Linked DNA regions of Saccharomyces cerevisiae S288C. The protein of the gene in region 1 interacts with the protein of each later gene in a biochemical or structural test. Each region holds a gene or a part of one and is shown on either strand. Other genes may lie near its edges.

Region 1 (3,978 bases):
ATAAGGAAAATCAAGAAACTACAACGAGAGAGACGCCTCTCCCTCCTATTCCTGCTTAAAAGATACTGGTATATATTAAGAGTAATATCACGTATATATATATATATATATATATTTATTCGAAATAAAGAGCAGAACAATTCAAGTGTTCAATTAGTATGAATGGCTATTAACATTATCGTTTCTTTCTTTTTTTATGATTTAGTCCAAAATATCACTATTCAAATCTCGCGGAGAGAAAGGGTTCGAAAATTTTGTTTTATAATATCATGATTTTGATACGAACATAAATATATATAGAAGTAAAAGAGAAAGTGTTCAGAATAATATTCACGTCAATGAATGGATATCAAAGAAAATGAATGGTTCGAAGGAACAAAAAAATCACATAAGCAATAGACCAACCGCACAACTTAATATGGACCCATTTGGAATATAGAAGCGTGCAAAGGATGTTATAAACTTTGATAAAAGCATGGAATCTTAGCCCATCTACAGATGCCAGACTGGGCGCAACAAACTTTTTTTCAGCAGTAGGCTTCTTCGCCACGGTATGACCATCGCATAACTTTCTTGCCTTGATCGGATCATCCGTGATAGCACCATGGATAGGCAATTCGCACAGATATTTGAAATCTATAGGTTTGTTGACAGTCCATAAATAGACCTTGATATCATTCTTCATAAGCACAGGTAGTAATCTCAATCTAAATTGGCTTGTCCACGAGGAGACAAAATGGACGCTGATACCAAAAAGTTTATAGTGAGGATCATTCAGTGTCAAAGAGCGCTTCACAAATTGCGAGGCGATATCTAAAGACAGACTTATCACAATAACTTTGAAATCCTTCAGAACACCAGTTTCAATACCGAAATCGTACCAATCCAGCAACCAAAGCCCCCACGTGATCCTCTCCTGCCAAAATTTAAGATCATTCTTAACCTCTAACATGATAACAAAGGTCTTGATCATGATGATTTTCTCGTTGGTAAATTTGATGTCCAACATCAATTTAGCTCCTGGATGGCACACTGCCCATGTTAGAATTTCCTTCAATGTCATCATTGCTAAGGAACCATCCTCTTTGCAGCGCAATCGCTTAACCTCCTCCCAAGTCGACTCGCCAATCACCAAGTTCTTATCCCACATCCGACCAGTGTCTGAGTCATGGTTTACCACCACCATACCATCGCTGGTCATTTGTAAATCCGTTTCTATTACATCAGCACCTGCTGCATAAGCCTTCTCAAATGCTAGTAGCGTATTTTCAGGATATCTTGCTTTAAAAGCTCTGTGGCCCACAATTTCAACCATCCTCGTGTCCTTGTTGTTATCTTACACTTCTTATTTATCAATAACACTAGTAACATCAACAACACCAATTTTATATCTCCCTTAATTGTATACTAAAAGATCTAAACCAATTCGGTATTGTCCTCGATACGGCATGCGTATAAAGAGATATAATTAAAAGAGGTTATAGTCACGTGATGCAGATTACCCGCAACAGTACCACAAAATGGATACCATCTAATTGCTATAAAAGGCTCCTATATACGAATAACTACCACTGGATCGACGATTATTTCGTGGCAATCATATACCACTGTGAAGAGTTACTGCAACTCTCGCTTTGTTTCAACGCTTCTTCCCGTCTGTGTATTTACTACTAATAGGCAGCCCACGTTTGAATTTCTTTTTTTCTGGAGAATTTTTGGTGCAACGAGGAAAAGGAGACGAAGAAAAAAAGTTGAAACACGACCACATATATGGAACGTGGTTGAAATACAAAGAGAAGAAAGGTTCGACACTCGAGGAAAGCATTTGGTGGTGAAAACACATCTTAGTAGCATCTTTAAACCTCTGTTGGGTACTTAGAAAAATATTTCCAGACTTCAAGGATAAAAAAAGTCGAAAAGTTACGACATATTCGACCAAAAAAAAAAACCAAAAAGAAAAGATATATTTATAGAAAGGATACATTAAAAAGAGATGGACTTAAGAGTAGGAAGGAAATTTCGTATTGGCAGGAAGATTGGGAGTGGTTCCTTTGGTGACATTTACCACGGCACGAACTTAATTAGTGGTGAAGAAGTAGCCATCAAGCTGGAATCGATCAGGTCCAGACATCCTCAATTGGACTATGAGTCCCGCGTCTACAGATACTTAAGCGGTGGTGTGGGAATCCCGTTCATCAGATGGTTTGGCAGAGAGGGTGAATATAATGCTATGGTCATCGATCTTCTAGGCCCATCTTTGGAAGATTTATTCAACTACTGTCACAGAAGGTTCTCCTTTAAGACGGTTATCATGCTGGCTTTGCAAATGTTTTGCCGTATTCAGTATATACATGGAAGGTCGTTCATTCATAGAGATATCAAACCAGACAACTTTTTAATGGGGGTAGGACGCCGTGGTAGCACCGTTCATGTTATTGATTTCGGTCTATCAAAGAAATACCGAGATTTCAACACACATCGTCATATTCCTTACAGGGAGAACAAGTCCTTGACAGGTACAGCTCGTTATGCAAGTGTCAATACGCATCTTGGAATAGAGCAAAGTAGAAGAGATGACTTAGAATCACTAGGTTATGTCTTGATCTATTTTTGTAAGGGTTCTTTGCCATGGCAGGGTTTGAAAGCAACCACCAAGAAACAAAAGTATGATCGTATCATGGAAAAGAAATTAAACGTTAGCGTGGAAACTCTATGTTCAGGTTTACCATTAGAGTTTCAAGAATATATGGCTTACTGTAAGAATTTGAAATTCGATGAGAAGCCAGATTATTTGTTCTTGGCAAGGCTGTTTAAAGATCTGAGTATTAAACTAGAGTATCACAACGACCACTTGTTCGATTGGACAATGTTGCGTTACACAAAGGCGATGGTGGAGAAGCAAAGGGACCTCCTCATCGAAAAAGGTGATTTGAACGCAAATAGCAATGCAGCAAGTGCAAGTAACAGCACAGACAACAAGTCTGAAACTTTCAACAAGATTAAACTGTTAGCCATGAAGAAATTCCCCACCCATTTCCACTATTACAAGAATGAAGACAAACATAATCCTTCACCAGAAGAGATCAAACAACAAACTATCTTGAATAATAATGCAGCCTCTTCTTTACCAGAGGAATTATTGAACGCACTAGATAAAGGTATGGAAAACTTGAGACAACAGCAGCCGCAGCAGCAGGTCCAAAGTTCGCAGCCACAACCACAGCCCCAACAGCTACAGCAGCAACCAAATGGCCAAAGACCAAATTATTATCCTGAACCGTTACTACAGCAGCAACAAAGAGATTCTCAGGAGCAACAGCAGCAAGTTCCGATGGCTACAACCAGGGCTACTCAGTATCCCCCACAAATAAACAGCAATAATTTTAATACTAATCAAGCATCTGTACCTCCACAAATGAGATCTAATCCACAACAGCCGCCTCAAGATAAACCAGCTGGCCAGTCAATTTGGTTGTAAGCAACATATATTGCTCAAAACGCACAAAAATAAACATATGTATATATAGACATACACACACACATATATATATATATATTATTATTATTATTTACATATACGTACACACAATTCCATATCGAGTTAATATATACAATTCTGGCCTTCTTACCTAAAAAGATGATAGCTAAAAGAACCACTTTTTTTATGCATTTTTTTCTTCGGGAAGGAAATTAAGGGGGAGCGGAGCACCTCTTGGCCAATTTGTTTTTTTTTTATGTAATAAAGGGCTAACGATCGAAGATCAATCACGAATATTGGACGGTTTTAAAGGAGGGCCTCTGAGAAGACAGCATCAATTCGTATTTTCGATAATTAACTTGCCTTATAGTGTCTGATTAGGAAACAATCACGAGACGATAACGACGGAATACCAAGGAAGTTTGTGCAAATATACAGCCGGCACAAACAGCAGCTTCACTCAGGTTAACTCACATACTGTTGAAAATTGTCGGTATGGA
Region 2 (4,402 bases), on another chromosome or scaffold:
TTCACTAGCTGCCCCAAAGTAATGGATTTCATAATAGTATCATCTAAGTATGCCTGTAGTACGCTAGGGTCGATATGATCTGTCCCTGTTGTTACTACACCCGCAACCCTAATTGGCTTTAAAGTAGAACTCTCATTGAAAATTGGCATCGGGCTGTCTAAGGAAATCTCATTATCAACACCAGATGATGAGGTCATGTTGAATTGAGCTACTTTTGTCTATTTGGCATCAAAACTTTTGCCACGTAAAACGCATCCTCATACAATAACTTTTTGTTACTTGCCATTATTTTCGGCAGCTTAGAAAATTCAGACGGGCGTAAAAACTATTAATCCGTAAGAATATCACTGTTTTATACTATTTCATTACAAAAACAATAACCAAATAATACCTTTGCATGGATTAGATTAGCCATAATTTCTACACTGTCATTATGAAATTACATATTTATTATATAGAAAAAAAAAATTCCTATTCAAAGCTTAAAAAAACAAAAATAATTAACTCTCTTGTCCCGATTTCTCCTGTCTGGCTTCTTCGTACAAGGGAGTGATGCATCTTCTACCACTTTCAGTTTTAAAATGCCTACCAAGAGCATCACTTCTTGCAAACTTTTTGCCACAACCCCAGGGTTTACCGTCCTTCAGCTTACCACCGCATACATACCTTTTCTTACCTGTATGCAAATCTTCGTGTCTCTTTCTATCATGTTGACGTGCAAACGCCTTACCACAAATAGAACAAATAAATGGCCTTTCATTTGTATGCGTTCTTAAGTGTGACTTTAAGTTATAAGGTCTTGTAAACTTCTTACCACATACATCACAAGCAAAATTCGCAGGATTTTTCCTATTATTTGTTACACTGTCTAGTTTTTCTAGATTGTCATTTTTCTTAACAGAAAATGTGCCATTATCGTTATTTTCGTGATTATCATCATTTTTGAAACCAACTTTCTGCTCAAATTGGCCCAAGCTATCTATGTCTAGAAGTATGCCAAGATCTTTGCTAGTGTCATCTAGTTCATTTTTAATATTGACAATGCCCGATTCAATTTTTGGTTTACTTGTTAACAAATTGTTATTATTATTATCCTCATTAAAATTGCTACTGTTAATGGTGTTATAGCTAGTTTTGCTATCATTGTCATAGCGCTCCCGATTATTGTCATTTTCACTGGATGGTAAAAGATCTGCCATCTCCAATAACTTTTCCCTATTTGCACTTATAGATTTAGCTTTTTCATCGGGAGATATGCTTCTTGATCTCGAGGATCTCCTGCTAGTGAAACTATTATTGGAAGTTTGAGAAGATCTTCTTCTTGATTTTTTAAGTTTCAATTTTCGACCGTTAATGATATCTTCGAAGGAGCGGTCAATATCACTGAGAGCTTCGTTGTTGTAATCATTATCATCTGGACGAAGTAGATTGTTATTGTTAGTAGCGCTATAACTTTCGTTATCCCGAACTTTTAGTTGTAACGTTCCGTCATCTTCGTTTTTAACTGGGAAGTGTCCCTCATTGAATTCCTGTATAGAAATGATGGGTGTTACCGGGGCAGCATGAGTGGAAGGAGAAGGTGTGGAAGAAGTTGGAATAGTCAATAACATCTTTTGGTTAGTACCGACTTTACTTTTATTAATGGCAATGGTACTGTTTTGAGTGTCAGCGGTATTAATAATTCCGTTATTACTGTTGTTGAAATCACTGTTGTTTGATGCTGATAAAAGGTTATTGTCTGAATATGTTAAAGATAGCAAGTCATCCAACTCATCAAGGTTTGAAATATGTTTATAACCATGTGAATTTACGGGCAGTAAATAATTTGAGTTCATAGATGCGACGCTCAAAAGATCGTCAAAATCATCGTTATTCGCGGTTAAGTGAGACATCGCAGGTGAAGAAACTAAGTCCTGTGGATACAAATAAGGCGTATGATAGTTTGATTCTGTATCGCTATAATTGGAGTCAATGCCCGAGCTCCTAGTGGTACCATCGTAATTAGATCTTGGAGATAAAAACTGGTTTGTGAGGGATGGCCGATGTTGATTATCAGCAGGTGTTAAGATATCGTCCCACTGAAATGTATCAGATTGTTCGACTTTTAAAGTTGGTGTTTGCTTCTGCTGTTGCTGTTGTTGTTGCTGTTGCTGTTGCTGTTGCTGTTGTAACTGTTGCTGTTGTAACTGTTGCTGTGGAAGATCTGGTTTGTATAGACTTTGGTAATTCAAATCTGCAGAATAAGAACCGCTTGACGGAGACAGCAAGCTGTTCACGTTAGAATCAAATGAGTCCGGGATGCCAGAGGAAAGGTTCTTTGATATTTTCTCCGATGAATTGGCGGAATCCATCCTCATATCCACATCTAAGTCCAAGTCCGATAATTGGAACGTATGTGATCCTGAATTGCTACTATTCCTGAAATTATTACGTCTGTAAGCGCTGTTATCGTCTATATCGTTTTTGTTGTTTATACTTTGCTCCTCTCCATTACTACTAGTCATGTAGGAAGCCATATTTCCGTTGCTGAATGACATCTTCCTTGTACTGTCTGACGAAACTTCCAATCGAGACTAAAAATACAACCTAGTTTTACTCGCGTTCAGAGTGTATAATCGTACTAAACTGCTGTGATGGCTATTGCCTGCTCTTTTGATTGTACTTTATCTAGCACTTCACAAGGTTTATAAACTCAATATCGGACTAATATGATAAAAAAAATTCAGGTGGGAAAAGTGAGAGGGTAGGCAAGAAGGTCGAAAGGAAAACAAAAAAACGTATCGCTGATATATAGCTCGCTCATGCAAGGCACAAATACAGGGGTAGGGTCCTCGACGTAGTAGACATTCTGCTTCTATAGATATTAATTAGTATAATGTTATTCAAGATAGCTTAGCAATTGTTAAATGCGCGGATGTACTTTTCAGCCCCCAACAGAGGGGCGAAGTTGCAACTAAGCTAAAGTGCAGTCAAAGCTGGAGCTCAACTGCTAACATAATAAGATGTGACTATAGTGCGCCTGGCAAGTTGCATGTTGCACTATATTACGACCAGTAATTTCCCTTGCCGAGCATATATGCCAATTGCCATTACGTGGGATATGGAAGAGGTGGGGTGCTTTTAGGTATTTGCTTTTTCTCTCATTTTTTGGATAGTACACTTTAAGCATGCGGTGTGTGGATGATGCCAAGAAAATTGAAAAATTTGGGCAGGCATTCGAGAAAGGGTCTTCAAAAAAATGCGAAGTAGTAGATATGAGTGCTTCCGTGCACAAATAGTCTTGTTCAATGGAGGTGTCATCAATAAATGTGTCTCAATACGGCACATCGTCATAAGGTAGCAGATGTTGCTAATAAGAAGGACGATAAATGCATTTCTGGGATGTATCCATTGCAATCTTACGGCGACGTGCATCCTGATTGCCTTCGTCATAACCATGTATGTGGTACTTGTATCTGAGCCTGCATCCGTAGACGGAACTATGGGAAATTTTCTTCCGTTTTCCAAGATGGATCTTGCGACGAAGAGGGACAGACCCTTTTATTCGAATTGTGTGAATACTCAGGACTATTTGTTGAATCCATCGTACATCAAGCAGAATGCCTCGTTTGTCATGCTAACAAGGAACGGGGAGCTAGAAGATGTTATCAAGACTATCAACAGTATAGAAGAGCATTTCAATCAGTGGTTCCACTATCCATATGTGTTCTTAAATGACCAGCCGTTTGAAGAGGACTTCAAAGCAAAAGTACGTGATGTTACAGTGGGCGCGCTGGTGGAATTTGGCACTATCGATGAGATATCTTGGAATTTTCCCAGTGACGTAAAGGATACGTTCGAGTTCTACAACGCAATTGAGGATCAAGGTGATAGAAGCATACTTTACGGAAACTTAGAATCATATCATAAGATGTGCCGGTTTTATTCAGGATTATTTTACAAGCACCCGCTAGTACAGAAGTACGAATGGTATTGGAGATTGGAACCCGATGTTGAGTTTTTCTGTGATATTACCTACGATCCCTTTTTGGAGATGCTCCGAACTAATAAGAAATATGGATTTACGATCATCATCCCCGAATTGTATTGGACAGTCCCAAATTTGTTTAGACACACTAAAAGCTTTATCAGTCAAAAAGGCGTTACGCTTGGGTCATTATGGAAACTATTTACAAAGGATTACGACATTTTTGAATCCGATGATCCGGAGTTACGGGACTGGATCAACTATGATTTTCAGGCCAAGGCTAAGATATCCGAAAAGATAGCCATCGAGCAGCTTTTGAAAAAGGGTGATGATTTCCAACAGATAAATGATGACAAAGAGGGAATAATGAATTTGATACATAAGGCTCGCTCTAGGAAGCATATCGTAGAAGACAAATTTTTCAATGAAGAGTAC
Region 3 (3,035 bases), on another chromosome or scaffold:
TTGGATATCATGTTCATTCATGCCAGTTTCTACAAGGCAGATCCATGGACTCTTTATCATGAAAACAGATTTATCGGTCCAAATGGCGAACAAGTACGGGGCTTCAGGAAGCCGCATCGCTATGGAATGGATTTTGAATTGTTTTTATTCAATGATATGAGGGGGTCCTTCTGTACCACTCCGAAAAGCCAAGTTATTAAATTCAAGTATTTTACCGATAAAGTTAATACCCCAGAATGGGATGCAATGTGTGAGTATTTGACCAATCATGTTAATTATCTGGAGAGCACACACAAAGAAGCTATGGGGGAGAAAAACTAATGAAGTGATTAACTATAATAATTTAATAATAACTCGCCATCCGACCTTGTATAATATAATGTAGCATATATGTGCACGGATATATATACATCTTAGAAAAAAATGAAAAAATGAAACCAAGAAAAAACTAACTGATGGTGTTCGGACAACGTTTTAGAATGAGGGTATCTAACTTTCTTCTACCATTCTCTGTCCAAAAACCTAGAAAGTAAAGTCCAGCCAAACCAAGATGTGTTTTCCAACGACGAAGACGCTGCGCTTGGTGAACGGTTTAATGTTTCTCCAGTGCTCTCATCTGTAAATCGTGACCGCGATGACGAATCTATATCTACGTCTGACAACCTGTCGAATTCAAGAGGCATCGAGTAGTAATTGAAAATAAAGTCACGCTGGGGGAAAAAAGATGGTATATCGTCAAATATTCTTTCATGATGGTATGTCAATAATTGCCGGCGAGTTTTCTCGCGGTAGCATGTTCTTAGAATTGGATACAAGTCTCTTGATAGTTTCTGCACAGCAATTCTTTGGGCATTTGTAAGTTTCTTTAATTTCGCAGAGGTATAAAGTTCTCTTTCCTTAAAGGAATAAACGGGAAATCCATGATTGACACCGTCGCTTGATTGAGGGACATTTTGATGCAGCTCATTAAATAAATGGCTGCCCAAACACCACTCATCGATCCGGTCAGAGTTACTAGACGATCGAATGTTACGAAGAGCGGGCGCCGGCTGCTCTGAGGGCGGAGAATTTTTATTGCTGTCACTGGATATCGACAGTATAGCAATTTCGTCAGAAGGAACTTCGAAGGCACTACTTGCAGATTCCAGTGTCTCATCGCGACTAATGGCAGTATTTGTACATTCTGGAGATAAATCTGGGTTATTGATAACCCTTACATCATTGAATGACTTTAATCTATGGAAGTCTAGCTCAAATTCCTCTTCTGAGAGTTCCAGGACTTCAAATAGCGATTCTTCATCGTGAATGCCGTTATTAATTCTGGGTTGAATGCGAGCAGACCTTGACCCGCAATCAACCTGGTAATTGTTCACAGATGCCATTAATGAGCTGTACTGACCACCAAATTTTAGTATTTTAAGCCCTGAATACAACCTTTGCTCCTTGTCGACATTCGTAAGTATATAGAAATCTATCCCTTCAAAAGATTTGTATTATTCGGGATTACGCTACAGCCGCACGTAGATCGTACGTGTATAACGATGTTTATCTTGGTGAAAGTATCTTAACGCGAATGCTCTAGTGATGGCACAATAGAATAGTGTCTTAGCACCACAGAGCGTGATTTTTTAAAGCTCTATATTAGCAACTACGATAGGTGTTTATTTAGTTTCTTTGTTGATCTTCCTGTTTCCAGTGTTACGGCCTTGTCAGGTCAAAAATTTTACCCGGATCTCTAGTAATGAGTAACTTAAGAATATCCCATCTGATTATTGGTAGTTTTACTGAACCAAGTTAGAGCTAAATAAATATATACAGCCGATAGTGCACTGGAACCTTATCCTAATATCTCAATGAAACTACCGGTAGCACAGTACAGTGCACCAGATGGTGTGGAAAAAAGTTTTGCACCAATACGCGATGACCCTCGATACATGACCACAGAGGGAAGGACAACTGGGCCCAGTGACCATGTGCTAAACGCTGGCCAAATCGATAGAGACAAACCTTCAGAACCGGAACGCACGAAAGATGGCTCACAACTGACATACTTAGGCCAGCTGCGCACGCAGCTGACGGGGCTACAGGACGATATTAACGAGTTTTTGACAGGAAGAATGGAATTGGCAAAAAATAAGAAGAAAGCCGGCGCAGACGAGAAGCGGATCCAGGAAGAGATTAACCAGCTATTAGATGGTGGTGACGGTGACGAAGATGCTGTTTAGGCAACGATATGTAGCGCTAGAGAGTGTATATACAAACAGAAAAGAGTCTAATGATAAATGACAAATATTTCGTTACAAGTGATAATTGTTGAACTAGGAAGAGTTGATATAAAAAAATAATAAACACACGATGGGATACAGTTAAGAAGGATTGATCGACTCCTAAATGATGCGAAGAAAGCCAATTTTCAACTTGGAATCATCCTGCCGGTTTGTTGTTGGTGTTAGCTGTGTTAGGACTCGTTAAAATGGCAATCAAACCAAGAACGAAGGGCAAAACGTACTCCTCAAGATCGGTGGGTTCGCAGTGGTTCAACAGGCTTGGTTTCAAGCAGAACAAGTACGGAACTTGTAAATTTTTGTCGATAATAACGGCCTTTGTTTTTATCCTCTATTTCTTCTCCAATCGCTTCTATCCAATTTCTCGTTCCGCCGGTGCATCATATTCTCCATCCCATGGGCTGTATATTAACGAAATTCCTGCCTCCAGCCGGTTGATTTATCCACATGTAGAACATGTGCCTGTGTTAAAACAAATGACCGTTAGGGGCCTGTATATTACGAGGCTAGAAGTGGATGGCAGTAAAAGATTAATTTTGAAACCAGAAGAGAATGCTTTGACAGATGAAGAAAAAAAGAAGACTACTGATCAAATTCTATTAGTGAAGCACTCGTTCTTAGACCATGGTAAATTAGTGTATCGGAAGAGCAATGATGCACCTGAAGTGGTCGTAGTAACCCTGATAGATTTTGAAAACTACGAATTAGAAACAATTATTCAAATTGTTCAAAATAGGGTTGATTACGCTC

Evidence for each region. Proteins that work in one complex are often made in the same cells at the same time.
Region 2: of the proteins of HRR25 (region 1) and CRZ1, one has a biochemical effect on the other in vitro, tested with the Saccharomyces cerevisiae proteins (3 studies listed by BioGRID, with this or other methods).
Region 3: of the proteins of HRR25 (region 1) and ATG36, one has a biochemical effect on the other in vitro, tested with the Saccharomyces cerevisiae proteins (3 studies listed by BioGRID).

Annotation. Positions count from the first base shown.
Region 1 is NC_001148.4:162,283-166,260, forward strand, and holds HRR25 (serine/threonine protein kinase HRR25), read left to right. Parts: upstream 1-1,993; coding exon 1,994-3,478; downstream 3,479-3,978. Other genes in the region: TYW1 (putative tRNA 4-demethylwyosine synthase), read left to right, coding at 1-59; PGC1 (phosphatidylglycerol phospholipase), read right to left, coding at 350-1,315; cAMP-dependent protein kinase catalytic subunit TPK2, read left to right, coding at 3,974-3,978. UniProt on the Saccharomyces cerevisiae protein: Protein kinase which phosphorylates serine and threonine residues. Can use casein as a substrate. Phosphorylates elongator complex member ELP1/IKI3 on 'Ser-1198' and 'Ser-1202' which promotes the tRNA modification function of the complex.
Region 2 is NC_001146.8:577,715-582,116, reverse strand, and holds CRZ1 (DNA-binding transcription factor CRZ1), read right to left. Parts: upstream 2,538-4,402; coding exon 501-2,537; downstream 1-500. Other genes in the region: SAM complex subunit SAM50, read right to left, coding at 1-197; KTR5 (putative mannosyltransferase), read left to right, coding at 3,344-4,402. UniProt on the Saccharomyces cerevisiae protein: Involved in the regulation of calcium ion homeostasis. Binds to the calcineurin-dependent response element. Transcriptionally regulates PMC1, PMR1, PMR2A and FKS2.
Region 3 is NC_001142.9:81,595-84,629, forward strand, and holds ATG36 (Atg36p), read right to left. Parts: upstream 1,383-3,035; coding exon 501-1,382; downstream 1-500. Other genes in the region: alpha-1,2-mannosyltransferase MNN5, read left to right, coding at 1-321; chromatin DNA-binding EKC/KEOPS complex subunit GON7, read left to right, coding at 1,854-2,225; MNN11 (alpha-1,6-mannosyltransferase), read left to right, coding at 2,474-3,035. UniProt on the Saccharomyces cerevisiae protein: Required for autophagic breakdown of peroxisomes, called pexophagy, through linking peroxisomes to the autophagy apparatus. Involved in regulation of the glyoxylate cycle.